Astyanax mexicanus: one gene and its partner. The main gene of each other region encodes a partner of the protein of the gene in region 2 in a complex. Links are inferred from orthologs where the notes say so. Each region holds a gene or a part of one and is shown on either strand. Other genes may lie near its edges.

Region 1 (8,054 bases), on a different chromosome or scaffold from region 2:
TAATACTTAATAAAAGTCATTCAGACTATGAAGGAAGTGAAGCATTTAGGTGCTCTTATCTGGGGAGCTGTTAACTTGTGGTGGTGAGACTGGTAACTTTGATGAACTTATCCTGTACAACAGAGGTAACTCTTGCTCCTTCTGTCCTGGGGCAGTTCTGATCAGTTTCATTATAACATTTTTAAGGTCTTTGCAACTGCACTTACGGATACATTTAGTTCCTAAAAAGTTCTTAAAAATATAGTATCATTTTATAAAATCCACTGACATGCCAAAAGTCATGGGACAATAACTAAGAACTAGTCTCATGTTCCATGGAAGGTAAAGAGTGCCAACCTCACTCCAACTCCCATAATTCACTTGGCCTTACCTTGAGCAAGCTGACCAGTGTTCCCAAGCCAGCTGTCTCCTGAGGTCACACTTCATGGTCATATGCATGATATACATTGATTTATACTGCTGTCCTATGACTTTGTCATTGTACTTTGTATGCATGTTTGTTTCTTTTATCCAAATTATGAAATATATATAATTTTTTTTTTTATTTCATGTTAGATCGGAAGATGGTCAGCCTCCGGAGATGTTTGATAATCCTCTTTATGGCTCGATGGGAAAATCCCAAAGTAGTAAGGATCAGGAGAATCCCCGAAAAGCCCACCTTACCCCTCCAGAAATTTTTGCGTTTCCCAAACCCCCAGATACCGACAATGACCGCCCCCCTCCTGTCCCAACGCCCCGCAACCGCTCCTACACCTGCTCCGACAGCAAACCGTCTTCCCCCGCCTCCACCACCACCGCCAGCATCGGCAGCAACAACAGCCTGCAGCCTCAGTCCTACTCCAAGAAGCCTGTGGTGCCCTCTCGCTCTGACGCGGGCATGATGGCAGCTGGGAAGCCTCCTCTGCCAATGAAGTTCCGCCCCGGCCAACCGGACTCCCAGCCCCAGCCCCAGCCTCAGCCTAAACCCCGGGACTACAGAGACACAGCAGAGTTACCCAGCAAGATACGACTGCCTACAAGACTCGTCCAACCACTGCCGAAGGATGGTATGATGCAATAACTGAGCATTTATTGTACATTACAATTTATTTGATGAATTTAGCAAATAAGAGAAGAATATAGTCCTTCTGGTGGTGGTGTATAAGGTGTTAGTGTGTGTTGTGCTGGTACAGTGAGTGGATCAGATGCAGCAGTGCTGCTGGAGTTTTTAAACACTGTGTTTAATCTCTCACTGTCCTCCACTCTATTACACACTCCTACCTACAGCTGCTCCACCCTGTAGATAAAGTAAAGTCAGAGACTGAAGATCTGAATCTGTTTCTGCACAGTTTACAGTGTTGATCATCCTCTAGTCCTTTATCAGTGCACACAGGATGCTGCCGACAGGACAGTATCAGTAGACTTTTCTCAGTCTATAGTGATACTGAGGTGTTTATAAACTCCAGCAGCACTGCTGTATATGGTCCACTGTACCAGCACAACATACACTAATATCTCATACACCACCATCATAATGCCATAACGACCCACCACCCAAATAATAATAATAGCTGTGTATAAATACCACTGCTACTACAACTAATAAAAATAATATTAAAAATGCTGATTTCTCTCTATTTACAGGACATCATGAGACTCCACAGCTTTCCAAGATGGGTCGCCAGCTGAAATAGATCTCTACATTTTTCTCCTCTGAAACAATGTTATTCTTACTGTACAATCCCACCCAAGTCACACAACATTTCAGATGCAAAAAAAAAACAAAACCAAGAAGCCTAGAGAATCCTCGCTTATCTGATCTTCCTGATATCCCACTCTGATCTTGCACAAATGTTTTTTGAAAATGTTTTTTGTTTGTTTTTTGTGAATGTACAGCTGTTTTATCTGCTTTTATTTTGGGGGGATTTTGTTGCATGGTGCATCATGATACGCAGCACTTGTTTATCACAAAGACAGAAAGATAATATCCAGATTATGTCAGGATAGTTTGTTCAGTTCCCTCTTGGCTATGGTAAACTGGACCACTGGACAAGGTGTTTAGAAACCACACAGAAAACAGAAAGGTTCTAAAGATTATTTGGTTCTGTGCAAAACTGGAACTTAAGCTCTATCCGGATGGGATTAGTTTCTCAGGGGGTCCTGGGGTAATTTTCTCTTTTATGGGGGGGTCCTCTGTGATTTTATTCCCATCCGGAACGACCAAGTATGTGAAAGTTGCAGGCTGAATAACCTACTGGTTTTTGCTGAACTCTGTGGTCCTCTGTGGTAATTGTATTCCTGTCCGGCTGCACATCCCCTCCGGATAGGGCTTAAGTAATAATAAATAGGGTTGCACCGAAAAATTTAACTAAACAAATCATTTGACTGAATTTTTTTTTCACGTTTTTAAACTTTTTAAAATGTTTTAAACCTGTCAAAAACAGGCACCGCATATTGACAGATGCAGAAGCTTCATGACCCATGAGATTCTAACAGTACTACATTAACTTAAAGCCATATAGAGACACAGAAAGCTACAGTACATCACATGTAATACTGAGTTATCTCAGCTAATGTTACTATCCTAGCCCTGTACAGCTCATATATGTCAGCTGGAAAACAGATAGTTTGTAAATAAATGGTGAACTGAGTAAACTTATAGTGAGTGTAACAAGTTAGTGAGTGTAACAAGTTTGTCTCTCCCCGTCGGCTCTCTCCCTCACTCTCTGCACTGTGTACAGCAGTGCTCTGATGTACAATGCTATTGTGTGGGCCTCCTGGAGGAAACCCGGCAATACCAATACTTTTTTTTGCCATTTTTAGCTAAATAATTAAATTTTGCAGAACATTTGGTGCATCCCTAATTATTACTGATATGTAGTAATGATGACTGATCCTAAGCTATGGTACACTGGACCATTCACCATGTGTTCCCAGACTGAGTCTTGGTAGAAACTACACAGAAAATTGCAGCTCTAAAGTTTTGTGGTAAAGTGGAACCAAGTAATGATAATATTTATAGAAATTATTAGTCCTGCAGAGAATCCTCTATTAATATCCACTGTTAATAATTCACCCACTTTCCAGCAGCTGTGATCAGTTCAGTTCTCCATTGGTTACCTTCTGCATTGAAATGTTGCATTAAAATCATAAGAAATGTGTCTGTTTGTCTGCTGTCTGTTTCCCCTTTTAGCTTTCTGCTGCTAATGATAACTTGGGACGGTAAAGCATTTTCCACTTTATAATCTTGACATACTTTCTCACACTTAAAAGAGATTTTGGAAGATTGTTAATTAGTACTATATACTGTACCCCCCTTATCCCTGCTGTAATTCCTGTGTGATTTTTAACTTTATTTATCAAAATATTTATATTTTAAATCTAGTTTCTGCTAATTTTGTATTAATTATTTACATATAAAAAATGAGGATAAATTGAGGGCACTTGAGGATACTCTCAAAGTTGTTGAAATGTTTCAGATTGACTGACCTTCATCACCTTCAGTATTTTTTTCTTTAATTACTTGAGTAGTTCTTGCCATAATACGAATTAGAACATTACTCATATAGTGCTATTCACTGTATACCAACTCTACCTCTTGCTCTCAAACACATTAAGAGTCAAGAAATTCAAGTAATTAACTTTTTCTATCAGTATGTTCTTACATACATCAATTGTAACTCATTACAATAATTGTTTAACAAGGTTAACTAAAAGAAGAAAACAGGAAAAATATAAATTACACCCCACACGCACACTCCTATACCCACAAAGGTCAGGCAAGAACAAAATAATATACATTCATAAATAAATGTTACTTAAAAAATGTGAATGTATTATTAATAAACAAGGTATGCATACATATAAACAAGGGAAAATTCTGCACTACTTTGCACAAGCACATTAAGGTTATTAATTACTTCATACATCAATTCTTATTTAGTAATATAGGTAGTGAAAAATTTCCCCCTGAACTGCTTTGAATATCTTAAACTTTGTCTTAAATTAAAGAGAATCTTTTCAGATATAACATTTTCCATAGTTTTCCATAGTTTTTGCATTTTAATGCAGTTTAATGAACCTAATGTTAGATTATGCCTAGCTCATGCCTAGCAGGGTCAGCTGTGGGCTCAAAAAGTAATTACCTCTTGAGGACACACAGCTGAGACTCTTAAAAAGTCTCCCTCATAAAGCCGACTGGGAAATTGGAGAGATGTGCAAAGCTGACATTTAAGCAAGAGGTTGCTAAAATATAAAACATATTCTGGTTTGCTTAATACTTTTTTGTTTTTACAGATTGGATGATTTTAATATTAATCTACGATGCAGATACATTTACAAATATTTTAAAGCGAGAATATTTAACTATTTTTTGTTGTACTTATAATAAATCGTAAAAATGGTCATTGTATCTAATTTCATGGATCATTTGTGTACATTAAAAGTAACCAACCAGATACATGATTAAATACTTAAAATAAATAATATAAACTCATAATGTTGTTTTTACTGAAACCTTTAAAGAAAAAAAGCGAAATTAAACTTGTTTAGACGATTTACGTAAAAGCCGGAATGGTGAGGGATTACTGTGACAATGCCGCCACCTGCTGGTGAGAACAGGATCACTACCAATAGCGCTGAATTCAGAAAAAGAAGTTTAACAAAAAACAAATCAAAATATAATCAAAATCTGGTTTATAATTTAATAAATTAAATTAATAAATAATTCTTCATCAATACAGCAATAACCCCCTTCCCAATTTATCACAAACTAACTAAAGTCACCGACACCTGCCCGACATTTTATTTTATAACTATATGAGTTAAAATAAAACTACATATTTATTTATTATTATTATATTCATCCTAAATTTGGCTAGCCCTCAAAAATGACTTTGGACCAACTGTTTTTTAGACATGAAGAGAAAAATACATCTTAAATTATTTTTGTGATTCTCTTATTTTGAAATCCTCAGATAAGCCTCACATGAATGGCGACAGCAGAGTCAACCAATAAGCATCGAGGATAAATCTGCGGCTAATTAACCTGACCAATAGCGAAGCAGCTTGCTCAGGTGTAGGATTCTACGGGCACAAAGAGCGCGTGAAGATGGTGAGTTTATTTTATTTTAGTTTAATGTTTATATTTATCTGTTTAAAGCGCAGAGACGGGGTTTTACACAGTTATAGATGTTCTAAAAGTGTTTAAATGTGAGTGGTTTAGGCTTAGTAGTGCTGTAACACTGTAACTTAGTCGTTATTAGCCTGTGTTTGTGTTCAGCTGTAAGTCAGTCCATTAAACCGGTTTAATTTTATATTTAATCAGAAATCCATGCTCTGCTTTTTATGTGGAGGAATTTTAGAAACTCAGCGACAACCTGTAACTAATATTCCACACTTTTAACCTACTCTAACCTACATACAGTACCAGACACACCTCTTCTTATTAAGTGTGTTTTCTTTCTTTTTAGAAATTTTTTACGTTGTAAATTTAATATTATAAAGACTATATTCAAGCGGTACAGGATCACATGCAGAATAAATAAACAAAAAGTGTTAAACAAACCAGAATATGTTTTATACTTCAGACTTTTTAAACTCGCAAATTGATTTCAGTTTAGCACATCTAGGATAGATCTGCACACTCTTTGTATTTTAATCTCAGTGTCTTCATGAGGGAGAGTCACCTGGAATAGTTTTCTCAGCGTCTTGAAGGAGTTTCTGGAGGTGCTGAACAATAGTTGCTGCTTTTTCTTCACGCTGTAAAGCTCCAGCTCAAATCACAGTCTCAGTTGGTCAGGTTTAGATTAGGGGATTGAGGAGGACTAATAGTTTGTATAGTGCCATAATAGTTTTCATATCTTTAATGTTAATCTACAATGTAGAAAATAAGTAAAGCGAGAAATTAAGAAAAACCCAGAATCAGAAGGTGTGTGCAAACCTTTGACTGGTACTTTACATAATTAAATACATAATTTCGTGCATGCGTGCGTGTAAACCCACTGGTGATTCAATTACTTATTTTTTTTTTTTTACAGAAAAATGCATTAAATAATCCTGTCCTTCAGTAAAAAGAGCTAAAGCAGGCTTTTTAAAAATAGAGTTAGAAGTAAAGTACTAAAGTATTTAACTAGTATAGTATACTGATCTTCACAAACAAATGTATTAACATAATTAGAATAAATCTGTTTAAGTGTAAACATAATAGACCTGCTATTCTTTTTAAGTATCTCAAAAAGGGTATTAAAAGTATTTTAATTTCTTAAAGTAATAACAGAACGACTAATTGTTGTTTGGCTAGGAGTACTTTAACCTTTTGTGTAATGATGTTATGTTATTATTATTATTATTATTTTATATATATATATATATATATATATATATATATATATATATATATATATATATATATATATATATATATATATTTATTATTATTATTATTATTATTATTATTATTTTTATTTTAATTTTTTTTACAGCTTTTCTACTCATTCTTCAAGTCCCTGGTGGGTAAAGACGTGGTGGTGGAGCTAAAAAATGACCTGAGGTGAGTGAAGTGCATTGTGTCCTGTCGACTCATACTTAAATTTAGTCTCATGGTTAATTAAACAATTTACCTTTTGATAGCAGTTAATAGAGGATGGTTTTAATAAAGGTTAGATGGTATACAGTGCTGGAGTTAACCAGTTTGGCATAGACTCTTATGCTGCTTTCATCACACAGACTGGAGAGTTGGACTTATATGCCCACCTATGAAATAAATAAATAATGTATATATATATATATATATATATATATATATATATATATATATATATATATATATATATATATATATATATATTTTTTTTTTTTTATTACTATTATTATATATATAATTTTTTTTTATTATTATTTATTTATTGGAGACTACACAGCTTACAAGATTGTTTGAATGGTTCTGAAATGTTAAAGGCACAAAGCATTGTAAATGTGTTTAAAACCATTTTATACAAGATATTAAAATAAAAAATACTGTTACATATCACACCTGATGCACAGGTTACCATCTGCCTGTAATTACTAAATTACATATATATTTTTGTCAATTTAAATACACTGGGCACTGTGGTTTTAGTGTAAGGGTATACTTAAGTAAAGTGCATTAAGTAATGGGCCATTTTAGTACCAGAGTTCTGTGTATTGTGAACATGTGAAAATGCATAGAATGACTTGAGTTTAGTTGAGTTTCCTTGGCCTGTTTACTAACTTTAAAATTGTGTAAACATTGCAGCATATGTGGCACACTTCACTCTGTAGATCAGGTATGTAAAACTATGCAATATTCTATATTTGCCGTTTTTAATGTTGGCCTCTGTTTGTAATGAAACTGTTGTTTTTTTTTGTTTTTTTGCAGTATCTGAACATCAAACTCACAGACATCAGCGTCACTGATCCAGAGAAGTACCCACACATGGTGAGAAACACTTACTGCTGGCAGTGGATTAATCCAGTGTCCTGTAGGGCTGGATTTAGCCTTTTCATACAGCCTTCATCTGCACTGTTGCTGTAACTGTTAATTTAGGGTTAGTAAGTGTGTTTGAGCAGAGTAGTGCAGTATGTGCGGGATGCAGTCCTTCTGTTCCCCACCCCTTGATTAAACCATGGCCTGACTTGTGATGCTGTGCATTTTTACCTCCCCTTATTTAAAATATAGAAGAGATTTTGTTTGGGGGAAATAATAGAAACGGTGTGTTCCATCCATCCACCTACTCACCCACCCATTTATTAAAAATGTGAGATTGCACTTTTTGATAATTCATATCCTTACCTTCAAAAATTGTACCAAAAGAAAAAAAAAACAAAAACATATGGAGTGGTCCACATAGAAGAACTAAATCTACTGGTACATTACTTTTAAAATATACAATGACATCTAGTGGTTGTTAGTAGACTAACAACTAAATTCTTCTCTGCCTTCAGTGACACCCTTTTAACTACTGGATATATTATTCTGTATGTTTGTCTCTGCCTTTATAATATTTATCAGTGTTCTGCTGCTGCACCGGAAATTCTAACACCTAGCAAACAAA
Region 2 (7,842 bases):
AATTAAAATTTTCTAGGCATGATGCAACTGATCATTTGTTTATTAATATATGAAGAGCAAAATTATTTGCCCAAACTGACTATCAATTTGTTGTCACAATAATATATATATATTTTTTTGCGTTCGTCCCACTGGCATGGCTGGGAGCCATTTTGATTATATTAACACCACATTAGTGTACCCTGTCTTCAGGTGGAGAGAAACCCTAACATTTGTTGACAGTAACTTGTCTGCAGATGATTGAGAGACATAACTGTCTCATTTGTTTTGTATCAGTGTCCTCGAATTACCAGTTGCCCTTCCATTACTATGAGTACAGTGGGGTTGGATTCAGAGCTATAACTTGTGATTATTTTAGAAGTCGACTGTTGATTCTTTTTTTGTCAATTTGTCAATTTTTTTTTCCTGCCATGCTCTCCATCTTTGCTTCCAGTGGGTATGCAGGTATACCTCCTGTTCATACCTTTCTCTATCGCTTTAAAATTACACAAAAAGCTGAATGTGGGACAAATGCCCTTTAAATGTTTTAAAGACATTATGCGGAAATATGTTGATATGTATCTGTTGTGCCTGTCATTTTTGGTAAACATGGTGAGTGAATAGTCCTAATTCCTTTTCCAATCAGAGATGTATAAAGTACAAGAAAATAAATCATTTGAGTAGAATTTGAAGTGTTCTTTAAGCACCACACTTAAGTAGAAGTACTAAAGAACAGTTTTTGGACTTAATTATTGCAAGCACAAAAGTACTGAAACTAAAATACAAATAGTGTTATGTAGTTATTACGGCAAGCAGTTGAAAGTTTTTATAAAAAAAGCTTGATTGCTTGATTCACTCAATGATGAGGCAGCTTCATCAATCCTGGTGACAGTGTTGTGTGTCTACCGCTCTGGCTTTAGTGATAATGTGGGTTTGGAACAATCTGTAACTTTTTGTAATTGTAAAGAGCAACGATGCAGCACTTAAAAAAATGATCCGAGTAAAAGTACCTAACTTATCAAAAATATGTAGTGAAATAAAAGTGTAAGAAGAAAAAAAAATACTCCAGCAGATACAGATACCACATTTACTACTTAAATACAGTAGTTAAGCAATTCAACTTTTTTACTATACATCTCTGCCTCCAATAGGTTTCTATGGCCAGCATTTTGTATATAGTGCATATCAGACAATTGTTTATATTTGACACTGTCAATAAAGTCGACTAATTGTTGCAGTCCTTGTTAAGTCCTTGTTTCAAAAACTGAGCTCAGTTTTTGAAACAAGTGATTGTCAAGCAATCTCACTGTCGCAGACAAATTTCCAGTCGGGTTACAATCACGAGTCTTGCTAGAGTGAAGCTGTAGTCCAGTTGTTATAGCATTCAGTTTAAGTGGATTGAAAGTTGTAATTAGTCTATTTGGAGTCCTGCATTCAGATCAAATCAACCGTGTTTAATATTATCACATATCTTGAGACATGGCTCACGCAAATAGTGAGGTGAACAATGTCAACAACCAATAACAGAAGAGCTATGGGAAGCCGCAAGGCATGAATATTTTACATGACTGTTCATAAAAGACATGAAGAACAAGACATTTTGCAGTTAATATGCCTTATATGGTTCTTACTTTAATAAGTACAGTATTTTAAAACACAGGTAGCACTTTAGTCATTATTTTTTAAAGTTATTTCATTTTGCACTACTTATAATTAATAAATACACATCTTGCAAGAATGATGATCTTTATGGCAAAAATAGGGCAGAAGAAGCTTACAGGCAGAGTTGAACACAAAATGTGTTTTATTAAAAAAATATAAAGAACTAACAGTGTTGCAGAAAAAGAAACTGTTGATGGGCACAAACATTGTGAGTCTCTAATAAATCACAGTATCGATGAGCACATTGTTTGTAGATTAATATGCAATATGTACTGTATATAAGGTCCACCAGAAAAAATATAGTTGCAGTTTTGCAATTACTGACCCCCAGTCTTTGCAAAATCTTAACATGTCAGTAAAAAGTATGTGAGTAAAAAGTCTGTGATTAGTCTTTAGAGGTGCGAGGGTGTCAGACTTTAGACTGTTAAGTCTTTTCAAAGTCGTGTAGTGTCTGGACAGCATAAACCATTCTGGTGTCAAACAGACCGCAAAAAACATGTGTGCACAAATTGTGTACCAGGACATTTACAATACATCATGCTAACCTAGATAGTTTAAAGCTCACTCGACTATAATCATAAATTTAGTAAAATACATTAAACATTACGCACAAACATGACGTCAACCATTTTTTTGCAGACTTAAAAGATCTAACAAAGATAGTAACGTCTCTGAAACATCTATCATTGAATAGATAAGAAAATAACACACATACTAAGCCCACACAGCTCTCTCACTGATAAAATATGGATAAAGGAACTGGCTCTAATCCAAGTAACCTACGTAGCTTCGCTAAAGCTTATTGGGTTAGTTCTGACTGATTAGCCACAGTACAGGACCAACACTTATGATATAAATCGCATAATTGGAGTCTACGTTGATGCGTTTTATATAATAAAACACCGTGTAGGTTTCTCTGTGTGTTTTTGAAAAACAAAAATCCCCTCCAGGCCTAGAAAACATAACTAAGCTACAAATTCAGCTGCTAGCCTGCTGTTAGCTAGCATAGCTAACCTAGATACCAAACACTGGGCTGGGCTGTTATTAGCTTACATAGCTAGCGTTAAGGAGTTCGCTAAACTACTGTGGTTAGCAGCTCAGTACTGCTGGTAAAGCGAATATAACTAATTAAATAGTGCAATTAATTAATACCACAGGCGATATTAAAGAAGAGTAATATCGCTTTAGGGAGAGAGGTCTCGTGTTGTTCAGGCTAAGCTAACATTAGCTAACAGTCATCCACGCTTCAAACTCCCGCTACTGTTTAATACAGAGGATTTCACACACTTACCAGCTAATTCCTCTCAGTTATCGATTCCGCCCTAAGTGCAGCGGTGTAATATTAAACGCTCCGTGAACTACAGCCCGCGTTTAGCGCAGGACAGCTCTAAAACAGTAGAAATGTTTCTCCAACTTTCCAACAGCCGCTTCGCACACAAAACGTTGTGTCAGTCGGAAACGGAGACGCAGCGATTCCGCTCAGAGAACTCGCACCTCGCCCCCTGCCGCTGTGGCGCCGCACTATTATCAGTACAGAGGGGAACAGTACTAGTGTGTCTAGAATAAATCCTAGAATATCATTGAAAATTACTTTATTTTAGTAATGCAGTTCAAAATGTGAAACGCACACAGAGTGATCTATTTTAAGTGTTTAGTTATTTTATTGCTGATGATTATGGTGTAATTACGGTGCATGGCAATGGACAAATAGCTATTTTGTTCAAGGCTTGGTCAGAGGTGTCCAAACATTTTTTGTTGGGGGCCAGAAATAGAAATATATTTGAAGTCACGGGCCACACTCTGTAATAAAACAAATAATGAAATATATCACTTTAAATAATATTTTTTTCCTGATTATTTAATTTAAACTCCATTTTACTTGACTTACTATCTTTATCTTTGACAGTGTTGTGTAAACTAGGATTTTCCAAATTGATGTTTAATTTCATGATGTCTCTTAATATTAAACTCCTTAATTACGGCAACTTTTAGACTCTTTGGCCCGTTTTTCTGCGCTAGGAATGCGCACCCTCTCCGCTTTTACACATATTGGCCAGTTTTTCTGCGCTAGAAATGCACACTCTCTCCGCTTTTAGACTCTTTGGCCCGTTTTTCTGCGCTCGAAATGCGCACTCTCTCCGCTTCTAGACTCTTTGGCCCGCTTTTCTGTGCTAGAAATGCGCACTCTCTCTGCTTTTAGACTCTTTGGCCCGATTTTCTGCGCTACAAATGCGCACCCTCTCCGCTTTTAGACTCTTTTGCCCCGTTTTTCTGCGCTAGAAATGCGCACCCTCTTCGCTTTTAGACTCTTTTGCCCCGTTTTTCTTCGCTAGAAATGTGCACCCTCTCCGCTTTTAGACTCTTTTGCCCATTTTTCTGCTCAAGAAATGCGCACCCTCTCTGCTTTTAGACTCTTTTGACCGTTTCTGACACCTAGCGTTCAAACTTTAAATCTCACATTATAAAAACCTGCTTAACAGCGGGCCAACTTTTATTCTATTTCTAAAATACCTCGCGGGCCGCTCCAAAAAAGGAAACGGGCCGCAAATGGCCCGCGGGCCGTAGTTTGGACACCCCTGGGCTAGGTGATTTAAGATTGCAGTAGAAAACAGATTACCCATAATCCCTGCAAAAAGCATTGAATTCAACCACAGGTTAAAATGACATGGCAGGTTTTCACACGTTTTGTGGTCCAGCTACCAGGAAGTGCTGGAGCATTGTGATGCCAACATACACCAGGCAATTTCTTCTGCTTATTTATTATCATATTACAGTACAATCAAAAGACCCAATTATAATAGTTTAATAGGACCTCATAAGCAGCATGACTCAGTTAAAATAAAGAATAATGTCAAATAAATAAAGAATGAAATAGATTAAAACATATTTAAAACATAATCAGAGAAATGTATTTTGTTATATACTCTATACTGTGACGGAGCCCCAGATCTGTACTTAACAGTCAGATCTGTGGTTGGGCCCTCTGACGACTGTTCTTAAAAACCGGTAAGCTCTGTTATTCTTACATATACAGTCTCTTTAACTTAACAGATTCTCTAACCGCACATATATTACCAGTCTCGCTAACCACAAATTCTTTTTCTATTATTTTTTTCTGTGTATATTTGTGATAGAGCCCCAGCTCTGCACTAAACAGTCAGATCTGTGGTTGCGCAGTCTGACAACTGTTCACACAGACTGGCTTTGTTACTATTGTTATCTAATCAGTCTCTCCAACTAACAGACTCTCTAACCACACACATACTCTAATTAATCTCGCTAACCAAAGATTTCTCGTTCTGTCATTTTTGTTGTTCTTTTGTGTGTATCTGTAATGGAAGACCAGCTCTGCAGTAAACAGTCAGATCTGTGGTTGGGCCGCCTGAAGACTATTTACAAAAACTGGCAATTTGCAAAAGCTCTGTTACCATTGTTACCTATATCCTAACCAGTCTCAGTAACGCAGATTTCTCTTTCTATATTTCTTTTTTGTTCTTCTTCAGTTTTTTTGCAGATTTAGCAAGTTTTCCACCTACAAAGAATGGAGAGGTTTGTATTTTCTATTGCAGGTACACTTGTACTGTGAAAATAACACACTAAATGATTTTTAAATAATTAATTTGCATTTCATTGCATAAAATAAGTTTTTGAGAACATATTAACCAGCAAGATTTCTCACTTTCACAGACCTGTTCTTTTTCTTTGCACTCATTACCTGTATTAATAGGCTAGTATTAATTCCTCAGTAGTAAGCATTGAGGAGGGGTTAAGAGGGCATTGTGAAGTACTACAGGTGAGGATGGGCTAAATAAATAGTAAAAATTATTTGTTTCCTTAGAATCATTTAGAATTCATCCTTAGGGTTAAGGTAGGGTTAACAGAGTGATAAACCTTTCTTTCTAGGGTTGAGGGAAAATTATTAGTAACAATTATTGTGATTATTAATAATGAGGATAAGTTGAATATAGCAGCAGGAATTTCTCCATAGGTTTAGGGAAGGGTGGATAGGATTGTATGAATTCCTTAGCATAAAATTTAGACACAACGCTGAATTCCAATAATCAATTCCACAAATCGTCCACTAGTGTGCAGTCGAGCTCTTGCAGGAGATTGCTTCACTGAGTATAGAAAAGTCCTTGTGAGTGAGTCCTTGGCTTTATGAATAAATTTGGCTTCTTACTTTCGTAGTAAACACGCCTAGTGACTCTCAATAGATTTTAGCAGCACATGGGAGCACGTGAGATCAACCAATTAATCTGCTGCACATTCATCATTCATTCCACCCCTCCCTCTGTCTTCCTCTGATGTGGGTCATGTGGTAGCAGTAGTAGTAGTGTGAGCCCCGGGCTATGCTCCTCATTCTGCTGAATTTTACACTCCTCCCCTCTTTATACACATACTGCGGGATTTATCTTTTACAACACCACACCAGGCCCACTCCTCACCCCCTCTAGTGTACTCTACCCAGTAACTAACTAATATACCACACTACATACTGTACCACACCACAATGTAGTGTCCATACTGTTTTAAGATTTGTCACAAAAAAGTAAACATAATGAACATGTCCAGCACATCATGCTCGACTGATGGTAACGGACTATTTCTTATAGATTCCGTTAAAGAGTAAGGAAACTTTGTAAGATTATGAGACAAAGATTCTAAAAATAAATAAACAGAATAACAATCAAATGATTCAAATTGTGGCTGAGCCAAAACACTCCTTACTTCTTATATGAATGGACAGAGTTACAATGGATTTTATGACTTCACAAAAACATAAGAGTTTAAAATGGTCTGTTGGTGCAATTTTGGCTACATCCGCACTGTTCATAATAATTTGCAAACAACAAATCCAATTTGCCTGTAATCTGAGCATAGCTTAAGTTTTTATATAGAATGAATTTAGTGCAAAATAGAGTTTAAATGGACTGAGAAAAAACAGTTTGTTTAAAAAAGTAGGTAATACAGAAGACAAGCAACAAACAGGGTTCCTAACCAAATTCTGCAGCTGCTTTCTCTCCCTTTCCCCTTTCTCCTTCTCTAAATCTCCCTCCCTCCCTCTCTGGGTGCTGGGTTAATGACTGGCAGTGTGGACAGATCGCGTGTGTGTGGAGGGTTTTGGTTGGGCACAGGCACTGCATCAGTCTACACCCTTCCCCCACTCACTCAAATTCAACCCAGCCCAATTCCTCCCCACATAATATGCTGCCAAATCCTCACCAAGCACACCATACATCGCAATGTCAGTTCCTCACCACATTAACCACACAATACGCTGCCAATTCTTCACAAAGCTTAACATACACTGCACTGCTAATTCCTCACCAAGCTCACCACATAATGCACTCCCAAACCCTCACAAAGCTCACCATATAATGTACTGGCAGTTCCTCACCACTCGCTGCCATTTTCTCACCAAGCTCACTATACAGAACAGTGCCATTTACTCACCACATAAACCACATAACACACTGCCAAGTCGTCTCCAAGCTCACCATACAAAACACTGCCAATTCCTCACCACATTAACCCCATAACACGCTGCCAACTTCTCTCCAAGCTCATCATACACAACACTGCCAATTTCTCACCACATTAACCAAACAGCACACTGCCGTTTACTCTCCAAGCTCATTATATAACACACTGCCAATTCTGCACCAAGCTCACCAAACAAAACACTGCCAATTCCTTACCACATTCACCATACAAAACACTGCCAATTCCTCACCAAGCTCACCATACAGCACACTGCCAATTCCTCACCACATTAACCACATAACACGCTGCCAACTCCTCTTCAAGCTCACAATACAACACACTGCCGATTCCTCACCAAGCTCACCATATAACACACTGCCAATTCCTCACCACATTAACAACATAACACGCTGCCGACTCCTCTCTAAGCTTACCATACAAAACACTGCCAATTCCTCACTAAGCTTACCATACAACACACTGCCAATTCCTTACCAGCTTTACCATACAACACACTGCCGATTCCTCACCAAGCTCACCATACAACACACTGCCAATTCCTCACCACAATAACCACATAACACAATGCCAACTCTTCTCAAAGCTCACTATACAACACACTGCCAATTCCTCACCAACCTTAGCATACAAAACACTGCCAACTCATCACCAAGCTCACCATACAACACATTGCCAATTCCTCACCAAGCTCACAAT

Evidence for each region. Proteins that work in one complex are often made in the same cells at the same time.
Region 1: prpf3 (region 2) and smx5 share a complex: the UniProt entries of both Homo sapiens proteins name them as parts of the precatalytic spliceosome. The link is inferred for Astyanax mexicanus from reciprocal best matches to the Homo sapiens genes PRPF3 and LSM2.

What each region holds. Positions count from the first base shown.
Region 1 is NC_064412.1:47,970,535-47,978,588, reverse strand, and holds the start of smx5 (smx5), read left to right. Parts: upstream 1-4,990; 5' UTR 4,991-5,089; coding exon 5,090-5,092; intron 5,093-6,461; coding exon 6,462-6,529; intron 6,530-7,255; coding exon 7,256-7,286; intron 7,287-7,378; coding exon 7,379-7,438; intron 7,439-8,054. Other genes in the region: inpp5d (phosphatidylinositol 3,4,5-trisphosphate 5-phosphatase 1), read left to right, coding at 556-1,046, 1,624-1,673. UniProt on the Homo sapiens protein: Plays a role in pre-mRNA splicing as component of the U4/U6-U5 tri-snRNP complex that is involved in spliceosome assembly, and as component of the precatalytic spliceosome (spliceosome B complex).
Region 2 is NC_064413.1:15,653,904-15,661,745, reverse strand, and holds the start of prpf3 (U4/U6 small nuclear ribonucleoprotein Prp3), read right to left. Parts: upstream 3,107-7,842; 5' UTR 2,933-3,106; intron 1-2,932. UniProt on the Homo sapiens protein: Plays a role in pre-mRNA splicing as component of the U4/U6-U5 tri-snRNP complex that is involved in spliceosome assembly, and as component of the precatalytic spliceosome (spliceosome B complex).